Linked DNA regions of Yarrowia lipolytica. The protein of the gene in region 1 purifies or fractionates together with the protein of each later gene. This does not show direct contact. Links are inferred from orthologs where the notes say so. Each region holds a gene or a part of one and is shown on either strand. Other genes may lie near its edges.

Region 1 (11,523 bases):
TGGAAGAGTTTAGCGAAATTTACCGCCATAACGAATATAGCAAACCTTTGGCAAGGTTTTCGAGAGGTTGTTCCGGTGGCCCTGGAAGATGGTGGTTGGCTGTGTCAAGCATTGTGATGTAAGTAGGAGTCGACATTATGAAGAGGGGTAGAGTATCGTAAAGTAGGTCTCCTATGTACAGCGCTCCGAGTCCATCACAGCGTGCAGAGAAACAAGAAGCAGGCAGTTCCGGGGTATGTGCCGGCCACGCCAGTTCACAGTGAGTTCGGTGGGACGCAGTCTCCGTTAATGCGCCATATACAGTAGAACATTTGACTTTCATGGCAGAAGAAGAAGAAGGAATAAAAAAAAAAAAAAGGCGCTAAATTAAGGCAGATCTAAAGAAAAGCTTGGACGGCTCTAAAGAGAAACCAAGGCTCGAAAGAGGACAGGCCAAGAGTTAATGTGCTTCGTATGAATCAGGCATGGGTCCGTGATACAGTGGCACCAGCTGGGTCTATGTTGAGCCGTGATATTGTTGAGATATCCTGCAATCATTCCAGATGGTCTCCGCACGGCTGATGCCAACTCACGTGAAATGGACTCATTTTTTCTGCACAGCAACATCTCAATCTCCTCGCTTGGCACTCCCGTTTTTTCTTTTTCTTTTTCCTCAGGTCCCTGTGAACAAGCCACACCCGGCTGGATGCCTATCAGCAGCACTCCAACAACTTTAGACGCTCTTGCACCGTCACGTGAACCGTGCTCATACCTGGGTACGAAGATTCCGGGTCAGATGTACAAAAAAAGATATGTATATATATATATATGAATGGAGCTGCTAAAGTGGTCCAAAGTATCTCATCGGTCTCACACAAGCGAAAATCATGGTCTGGAAGTTCCTTCCCCATCTCAATACTCCGTCGGAAACGGACTACAACAACGTCTACCAGAGCCACCCCAAATACGCTCCTCCGGTGGTAACCGCTGCGGTATCGGACACTGATGAACACAGCAGCTCTGAGAAAATCACCGCCGAGGACTCGGACATTGTGTCTGTGGCTCTGGGCGTGACCGAGGAAAAAGAGCTCGAGTACCGAGACGAGGCGGGCCGACCCTGGTGGAAGTTCTTTGATGAGTACGAGTACCGTCTTAATAAGCAGGACCGATCTGGCCAAAAGTGGTTCAAGTGGTTCGACGAAAACGATACTCCTGCCGAGCGAAAACTCATCTGGAAACTCGACATTCTGCTCTCCTGCTACGCCTTTCTCATCTACTGGGTCAAGTTCCTCGACCAGACTAACCTGAACAACGCCTACGTTGCCGGTCTCTCTGACGATGTCCATTTCAAAGGCAATGACCTGGTCAACACTCAGGCCATTTTCTCCGTCGGAGCCATCGTGTTCCAGCTCCCCTTCATGTTTCTGCTCCCCAAGGTCCCTCTCCATATTGTTCTCCCTCTCCTCGACTTCTGCTGGGGTATCATGACTCTGTGTCAGTACAAGATGAACAATGTCGGAGGCATTCAGGCCATGCGATTTCTTGTTGGAGCCTTCGAGGCCTCTCTTTATCCTGCTTTGCATTACCTGCTCGGATCGTGGTTCAAGCCCAAGGAAATCAACCGACGAGCTGGTTTCATGTACCTCGCTCAGTTCTTCGGAGTGCTCACCTCTTCTGTCATCGCCGCTGGAGCCGTCAAGCATCTCGACGGCGTTAACGGGCTTGAGGGATGGAGATGGCTGTTTATCATTGACGGAATCATCACCATGCCCATTGGTATCATCGGTCTGTGGATGATTCCTGGAACCCCCGAGAAGTGCTACTCCATCTTCCTGTCCAAGGAGGAAGTCGTGCTTGCCCGAGAACGTCTCAAGGACCACAAGGAGCGAACCTCCGGCGAACCCCCCAAGCCAAAGTACTCCTTTGGTGATCGAGGCATGTGGAAAAAGATCTTTTCCTCCTGGCAAATCTACGTGCTCTGTCTCGAGGGCATCTTCTGCTGGAACAACAACAACGGTACCTCTGGAGCCTACCTTCTGTGGCTCAAGTCTCTCAAAAACTCCGAGGGCGAGCAGCGATACACAAACTCCAAGGTCAACGATCTGGGAGCCATTACCCCCGGTCTTGGTATGGTCTGGATTGTACTCACTGTCGGCATTGCTGATCTTTTCGGATCTCGATGGGGAGCCATTGTCTTCACCCAGCTATTCAACTTCACTGGTAACACGATTCTCGCCGTCTGGGACGTTCCCGAGGGAGCCAAGTGGTTTGCCTGGATGCTCCAGTACTTTGGATGGGCCATGGCAGCCACCATGTACTCCTGGCTCAACGATATCTGTCGTCACGACCCCCAGGTCAGAGCCATCATTCTCATGATCATGAACATGATGGCCCAGACCTCCACTGCTTGGATTTCCGTGCTCGTATGGAAAACCTCGGAGGCTCCTCGATACCTCAAGGGTTTCACTTTTACTGCTTGCTCTGCCTTCTGTCTTATGATCTGGACCATGGTCGTTCTCTACTTCTACAAGCGAGACGAACGACAGCATGCCAAGGAGAACGGTATTGTGCTCTACAACTCGTCTACAGGTGAAGGTCTGGAACATGTGCCTGAGACGATTATCGAGGTGAAACCTCATGACGAGAAGGCCGCAATCAAGAGCCAGGCTGTTTCTATCCACTCTGCCTAAAACACTAATTCAACTTATTTATTTGCATTCAACAGCATATGACCCCCTTAATATATTTCATGACTATTACTATCCAACAAATTGTAGACTTCCACTGATAGTATGTAACGTCAATGGACAGTTATGTATCCGAGCCGATCCGTTATCATCTTGTATTCGTAATGGAAACTCATTTACACGATTTTACCTGAGTTTATCCGAAATTAATTAATTTCAATCACGCACGCCTAACCGAGACGCAACTTTATATGAAATAAGGTTAATATGGGGGTTGCGATCTTGGATCATTATTAAATAGAACCATCAAGTCTCCTCAATGGCTAGCTTCATTCATTAAATACCATCATACAAGCATCACGTATTCAAAAACTCGTGGGCCAGCAACTCCGCGGCCGACGGACGCTTGTTGTAATCCTGCTCAAAGGTCTGCCGAAGCATGTCCTTAGTGTCCTCAGAACAGTTTTCAGGAATGTCGGGTCTACCACTGGTACCAATCTTGAAAATGGCCTGCATCTGACTGAATTGAGGAAACGGATGCGAGCCGGTCAACATTTCCACAATCAGACACCCTAAACTCCAAATGTCGGCCTTGAGAGTGTAACTCGTCTGCTTGACAACCTCGGGGGCCATCCAGTAAACAGAGCCCTGAAGAGACTGCCGGTTGGACGATGAAGCCTCGATCTTCTTAGAAATGCCGAAATCGGAAATCTTCACATTTCCCTTGTTGTCCACCAGCACATTGGCGCCCTTGATGTCTCGATGGATGATGTTTCTAGAATGCAAGTAATCGAGACCCTTAAGAATCTGGCGCACAAAATGTTTGACAAGAGGTTCCTCAAACTGTCCATATTTGGTCAGCATAGAAGACACGGAACCACCAGGAACGTACTCGAGGAAAATGTTGAGATACTCCTCGTCAGAAGACGAACCAAGATACTGCACAATGTTGTCATGCTGGAAATCCCGTAGCAAATTCATCTCACGCTGAAGAGCGTCAACCATGGCCTGCTTATGCGATGTTTTGGAAAAGTCGCCCAGAGAAACCTGCTTGACGGCCATAAGCTCTCCAGTAAGACTGTTCATGCCAAGATGAACACATCCAAACGAGCCCTGGCCAATCAACGTACCCTTGATCCAGTTCTTGGGAGCCTCAGACTGCATTGCAATGATCTGCTCATCTGACATGTCATCCTCGGAAGGGGTAGCGCTGTGGGGAGGGTCCACGAGAGAAGCTGTTGCTGAAGCTGCTGCTGATGCAGCCTCTTCTTGCTGGCTCAGAGTCTCGAGAGTAGCAGGAATGGATGCTGTACTCTTTCGCAGAGAGCTTCCACGCTCAACCTGGGACGAAGACTGTGTTCGGCTGGGCTGCATGGACTCTCGAGTAAGAGTTTGGGGCATCGAGAGATCCGAAGGAATCTCCGGAACAGCAGGGATATTGTCCGAGTCGTTTTCCGAGCCAATCCCGCCCTCGTTGTTCATGAACGACGAGATGGTCGCAATACTCATTCGGTTGTAGTTGTAGTTGGACGCAGTACTGGTACTCATGCGGGACATTCGGTTGGAAAACCGAATCGAGTTTCGGATCGTCTGCTCCAACACCTTGGAGCCTGCCTGAGGAAAATATTCTGCCAGGTTGGAAGAAATGAGCTCCGAAGGAGGTCGATGACCGAATCTCTGAAGTCGTCGAGAATTGTGGGGAAGATTGGATCGGGGCAGCGGGGCCATTTTTTGGGGGTCGGACGAAAAGTAGTCGCCCGAGAGTTGCGAAATGGTAGGCTGGTTGGCCGAGTAGTTGCCGGAAGACGAAGACGAGTTTGTGTTTGTGTCCACAGACTCCAGCAACACAGATTGAGACTTGGCAAACTGCTTTTGAGTGGGAGGCATGTCGTTGAGACACAGCATGAGTCGACGACGCTCAGCACGTGAAGGAGAGTGGCAGATGGTCACCAGCTCATTGTCAGACACAATCCGGGTGGATGTGGCGAATGCATTATCGGAAACATGGATACACCAGTTGTTGGGCGAATCCTTAATGGCAAACTTCTTGAGTGCCGTGCGAATGATTGATTCGGCATTGAAGCAGCCTGAAATGTTAACTGTCTTGCTCTGGCCCATGGTGTAGATGAACTTGACAGTTCCCTGTCGAACCTGGTCCATGGACAAGATACCCTTAACGTCGCCAGTAGATGTGGTGGAGGAAGGAGCCCGCGCTGTTTGGGGTCTAAGGTGGCTGGAGAAGTCTGATCCAGCGCTAGATGCTCTGTCTGGGGTGACTGGGGTTCCTGACGATGACGAGATGCCAAGACCATGGCTTGCAAAGGGGGAGACGCATTGCTCGTCCAAATATGACAGAGTTTTTCCAGTTCTGTGCTGTGAACGCTGGTGTGGGGTAGGTTGCTGATTCTGCAAAGTGGTTTTTCTATGTTGGCTTCGCAAATCCTTGATGGCCACATTGATTCTTACCCGGTCACCCACTTTGACCACACCCATGTCCTTGAGCAGCTTCTGGTCGATTTCCAGCAGCACTTCACCACAGATTTCGTTCTGCTCAAACATGGGGATGTACTCTGCACACTTAAGCGATCGCAGCCATTCGGCCACCTTGGTCTTGTCCCACGACGTGACCAATGGAGTGTTTGACACTGGTGAGACGGCCGAGACGGGTGCCGATGCGCTCTGAGCCGCATGAAGGGCCGCATGAGCTTGTTGGGCGGCCTGGGCGGCCTGTGAATGCTGGCTCTGGGCTTGTGGGGGCGGGTGATTGGCTCCCGGGATGGCATTGGCCGCCGAGGAGCCATTCGAAGGGCTCGAGTAGTGCCGGATGGGCGGTGGCGGCTTTTTTAACGTTGGAATGGGTGGGGGAGCATGCTTAGGGATCTGTGTGTGTATCTGGGAATGTGATGGTTGAGACTGACTATGTGTAGGCTGGGGAGGTCTGCCCATGTCTCTAGGAAGATGTTGGGGTCCCACGTTCATGGAAGACTCGCGGGCGGAGATAAAAGGCGCTGGCGGTGGTGGCGGAGGTTGTGTGGGGGCTGAGGCGGAGGTTGTGCCTGCTGTGGAAGGCGTGGTCGCGGTACTCTGGTCCGGTGCCAGTTGCAATTTGTCAATTTGCAGGTCTGTGTCGCCGAATTCAAACCATTCCGAAAACGGCGACAGCGGCGGCGGAGGCGGGAGATACTCCGACATGCCGTTTACAGAAGAATGGAGAGTCGGACGGACGACGTTTGATTAGTGCAGGGTTAGTAAGGGTGGTGGTTCACTTTTGGCGGCACTCTGACGGTTGGCACTTTTGGGTTGGCACTTTTGGCTTTGGACATGTTTGGCTTTGTGGGAGTTGCCGGTGTGGTTCGGTGCAAGGGTGTGTGTGGAGGTGCTAAAAGCTCGGCATTGGTGTGGTATGGGGGAGCATGGGATAAGGCAGCGAGGTATTATTAGTTCGGAGGGTATAGAACGTCTGTGCACACACACCCCTTTTGTATATGGTTACGCCATCTCCCCGACATTGACTGGAGATACCCGATCTACGATACCCTTGCACTTTAAAATGCTGTGGATACGACCGTACAAGTACAGTCAAGTCAAGTACAGTAGCTACTGTAAGGATGGAGTGTGTAGAGGAGAGTGAATGGGCGATGGTAGATGGTTATTTTTTTGTTTTTGTTTTTGTTTTTGCAAATTTCCTGTATACTGTATATCGAATTTATCTGAATTTACAGAGCTTTTTCCTTTCCTTTTCAGAGCCTTTTCGTTTCCTTTTCTTTTCTTTTCTTTTCATTTTCTTTTCTTTTCATTTTCAGTTCATTTTCATTTTATTCGCCGTTAATTCTTTAATTTAAAACAATAACCAGCACCACGCTATCGACGCCATATTAACAGCAATGCTCGCCCTAATCATATCCGACAACATGTAAGCTCCAACGCTTGCCTCATTGACCGTTTCTATCTCACCGAACGAACCCCACTATCTCGTTTTTACCCGATTCCCACCATTACCCCGATGTGACCCGAAACGTCTCATGTGCCTCATGTGTATCCGTGCCTCATATTCTTTGTATGAAGTGAAAGTACTAGACTACTTACTGCTTCTGGCTGCGGCAAGCAACCACGGACCGATTCCGCTTCAGATATCAGATATCCGGTTAAGATCTTCTTCTAATCGACCACAGATTCGCCAACAGTATGTACATACATACTGAACCATATGTACTGTACTCACATACACCCCTGAACTGCACTCATGTCAATCACCGCATGCCTTGAGCAGAGTACAGGAAAAAAACCAACAGTGCAAAGACCCATTCAAAAGTGATGGATGTCGTTCGTTGCCAACACTGATACACCGTCTGCGGGAACACACTCTATCGCTACGGACCGCCCTCGACCATGTGACCCCTGCAAATATGTTTCATTATCCCGTGTCAAAACCTGTACCACGGAGTCCCTGCCTAACTGCCGGCAGGGTGCAGCAACACCTCGTATTTTTCGGTTTTTTCACACAATCGCGGACTTCCGATTGACTTTGCCAGAGCAATGACACCATGCACCAAAGCAGACAAATACCCCGAGGAATGTACAAACAGTGGTTGTGCTACCGTAGACGGGAGCCATTGCAAGTGGCCAAATGTGTGAGCTGTAAGAAAACTGCGGTACAGAATCTCGCAATTGGACCTGTTCAAAAAGAAACGAAAGATGCATCAAAATCCGCTGCCAGAGGCAGATTTGAGACCTCGCCAAAAGAGCTCGTGAGACATTTTTACATATATTGGCATGAAAAACGAACAAAAGTGAGACTGATTGTGAGACATATGAAACAGCTGAGACACTGGCGGAGAGGTATCTTTATCCGGCTTTTAACTGGCGGAGAGATATCAAATCGGCAAGATCAAACGAACAAGTGAACTACAGGTACGGAGTGAACGATTGAAACGAATGGGGAAAACCGAAAGGGCAAAGGGGCTATCATTCCCTCGCGGCTCATTTTAGTCCTCATCTACTTGTAACTACTCGCTAAACATTATAGCCGAGGGGTTCCTCACATACAAGTGTGCTGTACATACTGATCGGTACTTATGTCATTGAGTCAAGTGGCAGCTTGGCTGTCATGAAGATGTATCGTACACTGTTCCAGAGCCTAACAATTGATATATATCGGCTTGGATCAGAATATTACGACTTCGTGTCCTCGAGTCGTGAGCTCCATCCCAACAGTAATCTCTCCCGTAGCTGTCAGTGAAGAATAATTACTCATAGAGGATCAACCGACATGTCCACACCATCATGACTATCAATGACTATCAATGAAGCTGATAACCGCCTACAGTCAAGGAATAATAAATAATTGAGCTACTGAGATAGCCATGTATGCAATGTTGAGTGGTAGACGACCTTTCCACTCTAAGCTGTGAATTCGTGAGATGTGCGGAGTTGGAACGAGCAAAAGAGGGTGAGAGCTGCTTGGGACTCATAGCGTTCAATCTGCAACTGTAAAGAGCGGCAGTCCGTGTAGCCACCACATTCAGAGATTTCTAGTATAACTCCTACACAGGCTTGTCACACAGGTGAATCCTGTGATCACCCATCTGTCGCGCAACCGCCCCATATCGTTCATAGTATCCTGGAGTCACACCCACAGTCTAGGGCTCCTCTCTCTCTCCTCGTCCCAAGCTCTGGCTCCTCCATTCTCTCGCGCTGTCGACAAAGAAACTGATTCCACCAAGTGCGATAGGGTCAAATGCTAGATGAGCCGACCTAGTTCTTCTCAGAGCATGATGATGGTGATGTGGCGCGGGTGCAGACGATGCCAGCTGGTGAGTGGGATCAGGAGGTACCTCCAACAGACCTGACACTTCGCTGGGAATCGCCAGCGACTCTGTGGGTGTCGGTGACCGGGTGCTGAAGCTCGAATAGCTCGGGTTTTGCTGCAGTCTGGGTCGACCAGGAGCGGTTCGCGCAATTACAGTCACTCCTCCAAATGTGATGATGCATCCCCCCACAAAGCATGTGATCTGACCGAGAGTCATGCCATCAAAGTCGTGATAGGTCATGGCAGAGCCCACAATGACTGACAAGGTGAACAGCACGAAGTGCGTGGGAATCACCACAGTGCTGGGGAAGGTCTGCAGAGCTCGGTTCAAAAAGTTGATCTGGAACACAGCAGTGGCAGCCAAAACAAACGCACAAGCGTAAGTGAGTGGATCGTAGAGCGCCCTAAGAAATGCAAAAGAAAGCAGTGAAGACACAGCTTTTGTGCTCAGCGCAGTCAGAGCGCCAAAGAGGGCCACCAGACCAAGGTAGACGAAGAGCGCCGTCTGCTGACGCAACTGCTGCCTTGAGAAATGCAACAGCAGCGTTGCCGATACAAACACAAACACAATGTAGACGAGGAAGGACTTCTGTTGAAGAGCCGCCATTATCATGGCATGCGGATCACGTGGTTCCACCGGTCGTGTGTCGCTCTGGGCACTTGTGGCACTCAGAACCACAAACAGAATGCCTACCACCGTCACCGCTACCCCCATCATGTTGCTCCACTTGACCCGCTCCTTAAACACGATAGGAGCAATCAGGCAATTGGCGACAATGGCAAACACACCGAGTGGAGAGACGACCGACGCTGGTGCAAACGCATATGCCAGAAAGTTGCCTGCCTCTCCTATCGTCATCAGAGCCAACCCACACCACCACACTTTGGAAGAGGTGTAATGCGGAGAACTCACATCGGCCTCGAGACGAATATGCGCATACCGTTGGAGATTGAGAGCAACCGAAATGATAATGTTACCACAGATGGCGGTCGTGATGCCTATCAGAGCGTAGTTCATGTTGCATGTGTGTCTGTCGTTAGAGCTGTGAACTGTATGTGAGGTGGTGATGATGACCCTGAATCACGTCACGTGATACGATAGGGGAAGACCGGGGCGAAATTTGGGCGGGATTCCGGGAGGTTCGAGTTGACGGGGTTCGTTTGATGAGATGCGATAGTTATTGGCGGATGTCGGAGTAAGATTATGTAAGCGAAACGTGGACTGGAGATTTAAGCTTTGGGCGGGGTGTAAGGGATGATGAAGTGTGAGATAACACCAAAAAAATTGTGGACAGTTGGGAAAAAAAAGCGGACAAATAATTGAAGGTCAGAAAGTCAAGAGATAGAACCAATGAACTTTTTGGTATATATTATAGCTCACAAGTATCGTATTTGCGGAACTGGGAAGACGGAAAGACGGAAAGACGCGAAAACTGTGTTGAGACCACATTCTACTAATATTTCCATTTACTTGGACAATACTTGAGTCTATACACCGCCCCTTAATACGCCCACAACAACGTGGACACCGGAGGTATAATGTTTTGTGGGTGTGAAGATGGGCTGGTGGAATGCATTTTTTACCGACTATGGGCATGTGCGACTATGGGCATGTGCGACCATGGGCCTGTATCTCACATGTTAGCCTTACTTCCGAAGTGCAGCCTAGTGATCGACACTATGCGGAATGAGAACAGGAAAAAATAAGCAATTGCTAGGGGTCTCCTTGGCATGGACCCTAGATGACCATCTTTGTATGGTACGCGAGACATGTGAATAGCGACATCAAAGTGATGGGGTATGATTTGGTATCTCAATGGCAATGGAGGGAAGAAGTGTGTTATGTACATGTACTGATAGTGGTAGTTCAAGGCAGACACTTCAAGGCAAGAGACGCTCGGTTGAAAAGCAAGAGATGCCAGAGCACAGGATCCTGCTTCACAACGGACTTGTGGAATCGAGCTGGGACTCAATCCTACATATTCGAACCGACAAAGCACCCATGAGACTAGCGTAAACCGACCCGGTTGTATCATGTCAATGGAACGTATGTAGAGTCTCCCGAGAACGCAGGTTAGTATGCATAGAAGCCTTTAGAGATGCTGGGGTTCTGGAAAAGGCAAGGGCTGCTTTGGAGCGGCGTCTTGACTAGTGTGAACATGAGAATCCTAGAATGGTCTAATTGCAGGGTCACACCAGATCATAGATGTGCTGTTATCACCAGCGAGAGGGCGACGGCACTGTCGAGCGTGTACTGAATTTCCATTAACGAACATGTTTTAAGACAAGCTGAATAACAGAGCCGCGGTATCTGAGCACATTGACTAAGCGTGAAGAGGCACCCCCGTCAGAGGCACCCGGCAGAGGTACCTGTCAGCACAGAGAGGTATTGTGGTTCTGGTTCTTGTGGACGGAATCGGTACAGCACAGACACTGAGCGAAGGTGATACCGACACAGTAGCAATGCTTGGTGTTGATTGTTATCCTTTTACGGTCTGTTCATACCAGTAAGAGTTGTTTCTACTCCCTGATAATCTCAATAGTCCGTGGCTGCTACGAGTATGCCGATTTCTTCCATTTTGGTGAGACAACCGATTCATTCAGTTCCTTTGTGTGTACAAGGAAGCAATGCTTTTTCAGCCGTAATGGAGAAAACATAATCATGTCTCGTGTCGACGGTAGAGCCGTCGGGGTTTCACCTTCAACGGATACAGTACAGCAAACGGGTTCTCTCTTGCCTCCACCTTCACGCCTCTTCTCCTCCCCTTAGCACAACACATTAGACCCCTGCCGTCCTTCATCCTGTCTCTCTCCAATACGCCAAATGCAAACCTATGGCTTCAACTGTTTCTCCGCGGATACGGCTACACCATGGAAGTTTGAGCGGCGTCCGAACCTTTGTGCTTGGAGAAAGAGTGAATCTTGTGCTGCGAGATGTACAGCGTGCAGCCATGGGTTTTTGGAGCCTTGGTGGCGCTGTATGGGGGCAGAAAGGGTCTCTTTGGGTATCATGTTTTCTGTCGTATCGGCATCGGCACATCTCTCCCG
Region 2 (10,287 bases), on another chromosome or scaffold:
TCCTGAAGCACAGTCAGAAGAACTTGCAGCTACTCTGGCTTGTGGCTGTCAAGATTGGTTGTAGGTGCGTCCAGAGATTCCAAACCACTCAGCCAGCGCAAGTCGCAGCCAGTACCCTCTGATCAGCCTCACAACGCTCTCCCATGTCCAGTTCCGCGTCTCTCCTGATATACGACCTGTTTTTCGCCGCTCCAGGCCAGTCCTCGTCTGATCGATTCGAATTGTGTCGATATCTGTTCCAGAATAACAGAAGATCAGCGTGACCCATAACATGACAGTCAGTCTGGATGACCAACTCAGGGGGCCACAAGTTGTTATCCGACATGTCATTCGACATCTCAGTCAACAGCCAACAACCGCCGGCCTCTGCTCATCGTACTAATACCGTAGTATGTACTGGTATTGTGCGAGTACAAGGCTTGCAAGAAATTAATGATGGACTCAGTGTTGGTTCGGAGAGAGTCACGTGACTCCCATTTGCATTTCCACTCGATGACTAATCTGAATGACCGACGACCGCGACGGTTCCCACTGAGTCCTCATCACCATCCTGAGATGAGGGATCCTTTTATTTATTTATTTTTCTCGCATTTTCCTCATTTTTCTCCTTTTGTTTTTGTTTTATTTTATTTTTATTCAATTCAATTCCAATTCAATTCAATTCTTAAATTCAATTCAATTCAATTCAATTTAATTTAATTTAATTTAATTTAATTTTAATTTAATTTTTTCCCCCATACGCGGTTGTCGATAACCGGTGGGGAAGCAGAGTTTAATTGTGCGGCCAAAATGTTTATAATAGGCTCTGGTGATGAGCAGGCTAATGTCTCGACTGACTATACGACCAGGCCACCGAATCGTTTATCGCCACCAAATCGTTTATCGCCACCAAATCGTTTCTCGACTCTTTTCCACACTTTCCGCTTCCATGTCACGACACCCTAGCCTCAAGGAGCTCGAGAAGGAGCGACCGGCATTCGTAGATCGACCGGGATTCACCTTCACAAACACGCCCAACACGGAGTGGCAGTTTGGAGATGGAGCCAACTCGCAGGATGACGGGTGGAAGAAACACAAAAAGGTGAGCTTCAGTCCCACGGCCGAGGGCCGGCCGCCCATGTTCAATTACAAGCTGCTGATTGGCGCCGTGACCCCCCGGCCCATTGCGTTTCTGTCCACAGTGAGCAAGGACGGAGTGCGGAACCTAGCGCCCTTCTCCTTCTTCAACATGGTGTCGTCAGACCCGCCCGTGTTCGCCATTGGCATGACCCGAACCCCCAACGGCCACAAAGACAGCTGCCAAAACCTGCTCGACACCAAGGAGGCCACCATCAACATCATCAGTGAGTGGTTCGTTGAAGCGGCCAACTCGTGTGCCATTGCCGCGCCCTCCGACGTGGATGAGTGGCTGGTGAGCGGTCTCACCCCCGTGGAGTCTGAAATTGTCAAGCCTGCTCACGTGGCCGAGTCGTGTTTCTCCGTGGAGGTGAAGCTTCTGCATCATTACGATCTGTACTCGGTCGCTGATCCCAACAAGCATACCAACACCACGGTTCTGGTGCAGGCGGTCCAGTTCCACGCCCGCGAGGACGTGATCAACGAGGATCTCAACTTTCTCGACGTGACCAAGATCAAGGCCGTGTCTCGACTCGGAGGCATTTCTTACGGCCGAACCACCGAGGGCTACGAACTGCCTCGAATGGTCCACGCCGACGAGAAGGACAAGGACGAATACAAGAAGGCCGTCCACAGGGAGTAACTACAGATAGAGAATAGATAAGTTATTGCTTATGAACCGGAGAGACATAGTGAGCTGTGACAAAACAATCACAATCCCACCCAACGCATGTCCCTGAGGCATTTAGGAGCACAATGCAAGCGAACGCACGTCCCTGAGTCGTCCGGAAGGATTCCCCACGTGTTCTGGGCGTACTCTGGACGTATTCCCGTCGTTTAGAGTAGTACCTAAACCGCCGAGATATTCTCCTTTGGGTATGACAATGCGATATATGCTCATGTCCTCGTACATACATTGAAGAGATAGCGCCCACCTTGTGTTAATGCGTCTTGGACTCGATGTCTCAGCTTGACTATGCGCCATAGAGCTAAGAATTAGGCTGAAGTACAGCTGGTGTGGTACATTCTCAGTCAGGGGTGTTGAAGGTCCCATTGTGGAGCTTTTCAGAGACATTTGTCGACGTGATAGCAAGGTCCAGTTGATCCGACAAGTTCAAAAGGTTGCTTGACTTGGTCCATGACTTCATTCTATCAACTAGCCCGCCCTTGTACAAGTACCTGCTGGCGTGATAATGGACTTGGAAATTGCAGCTGGAACAATCGAGAGAAGGCTGCATTACTGTCTCAAACGTTGTCTTGTGCGCTGTGCAGTTCCCCCATGGAAGGTGCAGTCTCATATACGTTTCATTGTTACAAGTTATGCCGATCGGCTTGTCCAACCTGCATCATGGACAAGCACTAAGACAGTATTAAACCGTGCAGACATGTTTCACCCGCACAGTATCGTCTGCACAGCTGGTATTGCTTGTTTCACAATTGCTTTTTTCCTGTATGACTATCTTATTCCTATGTGCTCGTGTACATACAAGTACCGCGCTTGTACATACTGTAGTTTGACTCTGGTCACTCCTCCTTGTGCACAATCTGGTCCACGTTATCCCGGACCTCCTTGTCCTTGTTCTGCTTCTGCCACTCGGTTGCATCGTAGATCTTTTCCTCCACGGCGAGAATGCCGCATTCATCGAACATTCGCAGCACCTTCTCGGCATCTTCCACCGAGTAGTTGGCCAGAACCTTGTTGATTTCCTCCAGCTTGCCGGACTCGACCGCCTTCTGCATCTCAGGCGACAGCTCGCCAAAAACCTTCATGGCGTCCGCGTCATCCTGGGGCGGCTGGTTCACCACAATCTCCGTGTTGGGGTCGACGGCATGCAGCTGGATCTGCTCATTTTCCTCCTCGCTCTCCTTCTTGAGAATCTCGCACCGCGTCTTGACATGGTTGATGGTGAACGCCACGTCTTTCTTGAGCACCTCGAGAGCGGGGTGGCCCTGAGGTTGCAGGATCCGCTCAAAGAAGTTTCTGTAGCCGTTGGGGCCCAGCTGCGCACAGTACTGCAATAAAATGGCATTGTGAACCGTTCTCTCCATGTCGGCAGTCTTGCCGGCAAGTTGCAGTTGGAACCCCTCCATAACCAGCGCATCCTTCTCCTTCTCGGTGCAAATCTCGGGGTGTTTCGAAACAAACCGGTAGCACTCCTTGAGATCATCAGCGGGAATCTCGGCAAACTTGCGGGCAGCAGGAGACGGATCAGAATAGTCATCATCTGTGTCGTCAGAAGCCTTGGCCAGCGTGCTCTCAACAGGAGCGTCAGAAGAAGTCGACTGTCCAGGACTGTTGAGAGTCTCCATGGTGGTCTCGGTCTTCTTGGGCCGTTCCAGATCGGCCAGATCGTCTTCTCCAGCATCGGGCTCTGCAGTCTTGTTCAAAACTGTAGAGTTGTAGACATCGTGCACGTCCTCGGAGGTGATGTACTTTGCCTTTTCGTCGTAGAGCTCGGCTAGGCGCTCTCGGTGGCTCTTGTCGTGGTCCACCAGCTTGTCTCTATGTTCCTTCAGCTTGTCGTAGAAGGTGGCGCCGTTGTCGGTATCCACGTCGGGTTTGATCATGTCCAGAAGACTCTCCAGCATGTCGTCACAGTTCATCTGCTCCCCTTCTTTCTGGGGATTGGGCGCGGTGGGGGTATCTTTGGCCTTGAGACCCTCTTTGGACTTGACCAGCAGCTCCTCAATGGAGTCTTTGGCCAGCTGCGCCTGAGGCAGACTAAGCAGCTTGTCCAGACGCTCCACCAGCTCCACATCGATCTTCATGGTGAGCTCCAGCGACGCAATCTCCATCTTATTTCGATCTCTCTTCTCATGGATGTCTCGTTGCTTCCATCGGATGAACGATTTCTTGTCCACGTTGGGATGCACCTCCACGTCCGAGTCGTCCGACAGTTCAATCTTGTCCCATTTCGAGTAATCCAGCACCATTCTTGTTTGTGTCTGATGTTGAGATGGGGATCAAGTATACAGTATATATATATGGTTTGCTGTAGGGCAGTGTCACGTGGAGAGGTTTGAGGTAGATGCATAGAAAAAGGGGTACGAGAAAGATAACTGGATAAATGAGCACGTGAGACGGATAATTGAGACTGGAAGATGCGATTTCAAACGAAAAAACCGCTCCTTTCTTATCAATTGCGCCCAATACCACCCCCTTTCCAGGTTCTTCCAGAACACTCTACTTGAACGTTATTGTTACTTGGCCTAATAGTTGACGAGTATGTACTGTACGTAGGCAGCCAGTCTCGTCTCCAGTATTCATATCATATAAATAACATCAACATTTTGGACAGCAATGTTATCATCGCTCTATAGTAATCAAGGGAACACCTCAATGGGCTGACTAACAACGGGCAGGAAAATAGCCGAGAAGAGCAGCAGAGAAATCTCGGGAGCGCCCAAAAGAGGCATCTTCTTGGTCACCTGCTTGCTACGTCGCTGCTGACGTCGTCGAGACCAGATTCCCAGGGCTGCCACGCATATGCCTCCAGTTGCCCAGGTGTAGACTTGTGAGAACTTGGACCATGTGCTGAGCGCATTTTCCAGCTGCTGATCAGAGAGATGGTCAATGAGGCCGGTGGTTCGGCTCCAGAGAAGAGCCAGAGTTCCCAGCGGCTGCAGATTGACGGCAAAGATTGGGTATCCGATGAGAATGAGCGGTGAGTAGTTTTCGTACAGAGTTTCTGCGTCAATGTCGAGTTTTTTGGCCAGACGGGCTTCGGACTTGCTCGCGGTCTCAATGGCGCCCTGCTTGAGTCCGCGGATGGCGTAGATGGCTGTGAAGACGGGGAAAGCGGCCGAGAAGAGCGTGTTGATGGCCACGTTTCCTGTGAGTTGCCAGGTGAATTCTCCACTTGCGGGCATGGTGGTATCTGGAGAAGGGCGACTGGGGGAGGTGATGAGGGAGAGTTTGATTCCAAGAGAGTTGATGGAAGTCAGCCGTGAGTTTGTGGATGTTGATGGGCGGTCATCATGTGAGAAGGTCTTGTTTTTTGTCGTTTATAATCCACCATAGCGCAACTATCACATGTCTGACAAGTCTGAAAAGTCCCTAGTTGGTCCGTAGTTGGCATACCAGTAGAGACCTGCTCACTATGGGCAAATAGGGTTAGCAAGTTAGGGAGATAAGCCGAGCGGCGGGGGTGGGTGGGTGAACAGTAGGGGGGTGTTTGGGGGGGTTGAAAAATACTTAAAATAGAGAAAAATATCCAGTAATATAGAAGAGTCGTTTCCGCGAATTTTGGATATTTTTTCGAAATATAAACCCACCCAGAGGGGTGGTCTAATCGCGTTTCTCTCTCCCCGATAAAGCAACCGATAAAGCACCCCAACATATCCTCCCACCTTCCGAGTTAATTAATTGAATTTCCGACTAGCAGTAGAGCTGTGTGCGACTGACTCCAACAGACCATCCCCACACCAACGACTCTGGTCTATATGGACATTCTGGAATTTGTGCAGTGGGTGGGGGGCGACCTCGGGGTGGCGGCGACCGAAACGCTGGTCTCAGACTCCGCCCAGATCACCCCCACACTCTCGTCTATCACGGCCCAGACAGCCACGGCCACGATTCAGTCTGCCCCTCCGTTTGCCGACACTCTGCAGCAAAACCTCGAGTTCTGGCTCAAGCCCGAGTCCAAGTTCACCATCCACGTGGTCTACATTGTTAGCTCGTACGCGTCAACGTCGGTCATCATGGCCGTCATCATGAACCGAATGTGGGAGTTTGCACAGCGCCGAAGAGCCACGGTGCTGCCGGCTGCCAGCCAGACCATGGCACGAAGTATCCCCATCATGCTGTCTCTGCCGCACCTGTGGCGACTGTTTAAGGCCTCTGCAACCTGGGGTCCCAGCTGGATCGGCGCTCTGGCGCGCTACCTGCTGCCGGCATCTTCGCTCACAAAAGACACCCTGACCGACGCCTACCCAGGTATGTTCAGGTGCATCTGCATCTCCCAGCTCGTCGAGACGTTCGTGTCGCTCATCCAGGGCCAGGTGCCGTACTCAGAGTCCAACATGTCTCTGATAGAGTACTCTCTGTCGTTCCACGAAGCGGCCCAGCTCAAGGAGCCGGTTCCCGAGATTATCGTCATATGCTTGATGGGGCTCGTGAGCCACGTATTTATTCACCTGCTGGCCATCTTCAAACTCAACAGATACAGGCTTATCCCCTCGGCTCTGGTGGGTCTGTCGTTCCTAGCCTTCTTCCAGGTTCAGGCCATGAAGGGAAGACTGCTCAACTTCCCGCTGATTCTGGTGTTGGGTTTCATGCCCCAGGTCATCTACACCTACGTCATCTTCAGCACAGTCGTCATGGAGGTGGCCACTATGCTCATGACAGGCAAAAGGGTGCCCTCCATTCTGTTTGAACGTGTGTCCCTCTCGCAGGACTTCTACACCTGGTTCGAGGTTGTCAGCAACAACGTTACCAAGTCTGCGTCAAAAAACAGATACATTAACGCCGGATACCTGGAGACGCCTTCCGAGACCTGGATTGACCAGCAGCTTCGGTTCTTCCGTGATCCGAACAGAACTCGAGAACTGGGAAGCTCGCCGGGGTACGGCAACCAAGTCTTTATGCCCCCTGATGGGGTCAAGCAGTTGATAGACCAGTACAATGTGGGTATTGCCAACCAGCTCATGGACCGCGTTCGTGTTTACGTTGAGTTTCTGCGCATCTATTCCCTCATGGTCTTTTTTACTCTGAGAGGCATGCTCCGGTCTATTTTCCAGTCCAAGGCTCAGCAGCCGCATACTCAAAGCTTCCACACTTCCGACGGCGAAACGATAACGATTCTGTCGGCGTCGTTTGCTGATGAATCAGAAGAGGAGGACTACGTGTATACCGAACCTGTCTACGACGAGGATGATATGGCGTACGAGTTGCACTCGGATTATGGAAGTGAGGAAGACGAGGAGTGGGGTGACGAGGTGTACGACGACGAGGGAATGCATAGCGACGACGTTTTGGAAGAGCAGATGATGGTCTCAGAGACCATTGCAGAACAGGCCATTCTTTCTGAATCGTCTTCTGGAACAGAAACTGAAGAGACTACCAATACTAGTCGACAGCACAAGAGCCGACTTCGAAAACGTCGCCAGTCAGAACTCCAGACATTGTACGACCCCTCGGAACTAACATCCATCATCTCCCAGCCTAATGCGAAGGAGTCCAAGATTCTGACTGCCCACATGAACCAACATCGGCTGACACGGTCCAAGTTTGGTCTGTTGGCTGAAGACGAGGGAACAAAACTCGCCCAGGTGATTATGGAGGCGCGACAACGATATGAAGGCATGGAGCGCAAGGACGAACGACGGTACTGTGTTGTTTGTCAGTACGAAGAACGGTCCGTCATTGTGTGGCCTTGCCGATGTTTTGCTCTGTGTGGAATTTGTCGCCATGAGTTGCAGTGGAAGAACTTCAAGGGATGTGTGTGTTGTCGGCGGGATGTTGAGTCTTACTCCAGTGTCTTCCTTCCATGAAAGGAAGACCCTGAAGACACAGTCTTATGTGGGTTTGCATGTTGAAGCAGTTTTATAAGTTATAATAATGATGAGATGAAAGGTGTTGATCATCTGGCGATTTTCGGTATTTTAGAAAGAGTTTCGATAATGCACCGATTTCTTATCTCAACCTTGTTTGGTGATCCGAGGTTTGTCGGACACAGCGAGCGTCGATCCTATGTATATATGTATATATATTTATGGATCCAAGGTAAAGCTATCCTTGTCGTTGTCTGTATTAGCATCTTCAGACCTTTGACAGGTCTGGGTGTATCCAGTATCTTCTGTTTTGTGGGGCGATTGAGCTCAGCCAACAGAATATCTTATCTCGGGACTTCTGGTTGTTTGGAGTTACCAACACGATCATGAGCGTATAGGGTGTCGTAAAGGGGGTATAGAGAGTGTAGAGGCTCTTTATTGCTGTTTTGGTGTTATTATTGTATTGTTGGTCCAGATTTTTCGTTTTCTATCTTTTACATTCACACATTTTTAATATATGTGTATATATATTTTTTCGGCATACATTCATTTATTTATAACTTTGGCTTTGAAAGAATATATATATTATATATAATTTCACCAAAAAACCTGATAAAGTAAACTCTCTCGAATGTGGCAAAACTACATACGAGTACATATAGTACCTCTAGCTACCCAAGCTTGTATTATATGTGGCTATTGTATTGTACTGTTTTATGTTCTCATTTGACGTAGTTGGATACTCCTCACTATTACTCGGTCATACTTACCCTTACTACTGTAGATCATTAATTGACATTACTTAACAATTACTTGACATTACTTGACATTACTTGACCCACTCCACCTCAACTAACTCTATAAATAACTCTATATAAATAGCAAGACTTCACGAGCGAGGGTAGGAAAGACTCCGGTATAACATATATATCTTCACAACTCCCATCTTACTCCGACACTCGAAACCCCAGATATGTTCTTCACCGCATAAGAGTGGCTACTCTCTTTACAATACCCCTGCAGTGGCGATCTGCTTTCTGACGCGAGTACGAGCAACTCAACTACAGTCCAGTTAGCACTGGAGCTACAAGTACAGTAGCAGCCACAAGTAGAAGGTACATTTTCCTACGTAGAAGGTACTGGCAGCTCCTACCAACCCTCTCTTTCGATCTTGTCTCGTTTCTCTTAGAGTTGGTCACAAGCTGTCACTCTACTGGACTCGAAATAACGCTTATCACCCCTTGGGCAGATCACCGTCCCCTCTCGGGGCTATTTTTCTGAGGAAAAAAAAAAGGGGGGTAAGCCAAGGGGAAACGGAGGATGTATAGCGCGGGAAAAATGGGGAAAAAAAGGAAAGCAATTAAAAACAAATCAAAGGGGAGCGAGCACATGACCCACTAGTCCACACAGCCCCGTCCCCCGCCGCCACGGGCTTGTCTACCGTCTCGGTTGTTGGCTGTTCTTTCCTCGGACTACTTTTACGAGGGCACAGCCTCGATGCGAAAATACAGTTCGAATGCCGTTGGGATGCACTGGAAATAGACACTTCATCAGCTAATCGTTTTCATCACCAGCACCAGCACCAACACACAGTCACGGAAAAACCACAGCAACGATGGGGTTCAAAAAGATGTTCAAAAAGAAGGATCCGACCGAGTCGGAGATCCGGGAGTCGATGCAAGACGCGGGTCTGTTGGTCAAGACCGACGTCAACGGCTACAACCGAAACAAGTTCGATGCATACAAAAACTACGCCGCCCAGGTGACCCAGAAGTCGTCTGCGGCTCCTCCGGCGGCCCGAAGCAACCCCTACGCCGTCCAGAACCAACAGCCCAGCGGAGGAAACCCCTACGCCGCCGCCGCCGCAGGTGGAGCGTCCGGATCACCATACGGAGGCAGTGATCCATACAGCAATGGAGGTGGCGGCAACGGCGGTAGCAACAGCAACGGCGGTAGCAACAGCAACGGCGGTGTAGCAACGGCAGCCCCCTACAAAATGAAAAAACGGTGGCAACAACCGCCGCTCCCCCGCCCGCCACAAAAACAGTCCCTACAGCATGCCTCAGAATGGAGCACCACCAAAAGAATCCCCAGCCAAGTCGTCCAAGTTCAAGCGGTTTGGACGAAGCAAAAAGGAAGAGGCACCTCCACCCCTGGAAGACCCACGACTTCGACCGCGCCAATACGTGGCTCCCACAGACTACAACGACGCAGAACGAGACGACTACGAGCCCGTTTATGACGTGGGACTGCCCGAGGAGCCCGAGCTGCCCCCGCCCCCCATGCCAGGTGCCGTCAACCCCTACGCATCTGCCAACCAGGGCTACGGATCGCGGTTTGGCAACGTTGACCGGGAGCTCGAGGAGGACAAGACTGCGCTGTTTGGACCTCGAGACGATCCGCCCATGGACAGCAGCTACAACCCGGCCCTGTCTGAGCAGCCCAAGTACGCCGAGTCGGTCATGTCTATGCCTCGACAAGAGCTGTCTCAAAAGGTGCGTCAGAAAGAACCGCCTGCTGCGCCTGCTCCTCAGACGGCTGCCGTGGCCGAGTATTCCGAGGCGACCGTGGCGGTTGATGAGGAAGAGGATCTGCTTCTGGGAGGAGGGTCTACTCTCAACCTCGGCCGGGTCGACTCGTACTCATACGGCAACGAGCAGGAGTACGGCAAGCAAAACT

The links. The genes of interacting proteins can lie anywhere in the genome.
Region 2: the proteins of YALI1_F18202g (region 1) and YALI1_E22126g purify together in Saccharomyces cerevisiae (affinity purification with western blotting, with the first as the bait; 3 studies listed by BioGRID). This does not show direct contact. The link is inferred for Yarrowia lipolytica from reciprocal best matches to the Saccharomyces cerevisiae genes STE11 and CDC37.

The regions. Positions count from the first base shown.
Region 1 is NC_090775.1:1,814,413-1,825,935, forward strand, and holds YALI1_F18202g (uncharacterized protein), read right to left. Parts: upstream 5,859-11,523; coding exon 3,024-5,858; downstream 1-3,023. Other genes in the region: YALI1_F18152g (uncharacterized protein), read left to right, coding at 867-2,669; YALI1_F18226g (uncharacterized protein), read right to left, coding at 7,967-8,197, 8,248-8,280; YALI1_F18239g (uncharacterized protein), read right to left, coding at 8,306-9,493. UniProt on the Saccharomyces cerevisiae protein: Serine/threonine protein kinase required for cell-type-specific transcription and signal transduction in yeast. It is thought that it phosphorylates the STE7 protein kinase which itself, phosphorylates the FUS3 and or KSS1 kinases.
Region 2 is NC_090774.1:2,206,399-2,216,685, reverse strand, and holds YALI1_E22126g (uncharacterized protein), read right to left. Parts: upstream 4,051-10,287; coding exon 2,641-4,050; downstream 1-2,640. Other genes in the region: YALI1_E22159g (uncharacterized protein), read left to right, coding at 812-1,759; YALI1_E22117g (uncharacterized protein), read right to left, coding at 4,441-4,986; YALI1_E22111g (uncharacterized protein), read left to right, coding at 5,560-7,608; YALI1_E22070g (uncharacterized protein), read left to right, coding at 9,666-10,287. UniProt on the Saccharomyces cerevisiae protein: Co-chaperone that binds to numerous kinases and promotes their interaction with the Hsp90 complex, resulting in stabilization and promotion of their activity.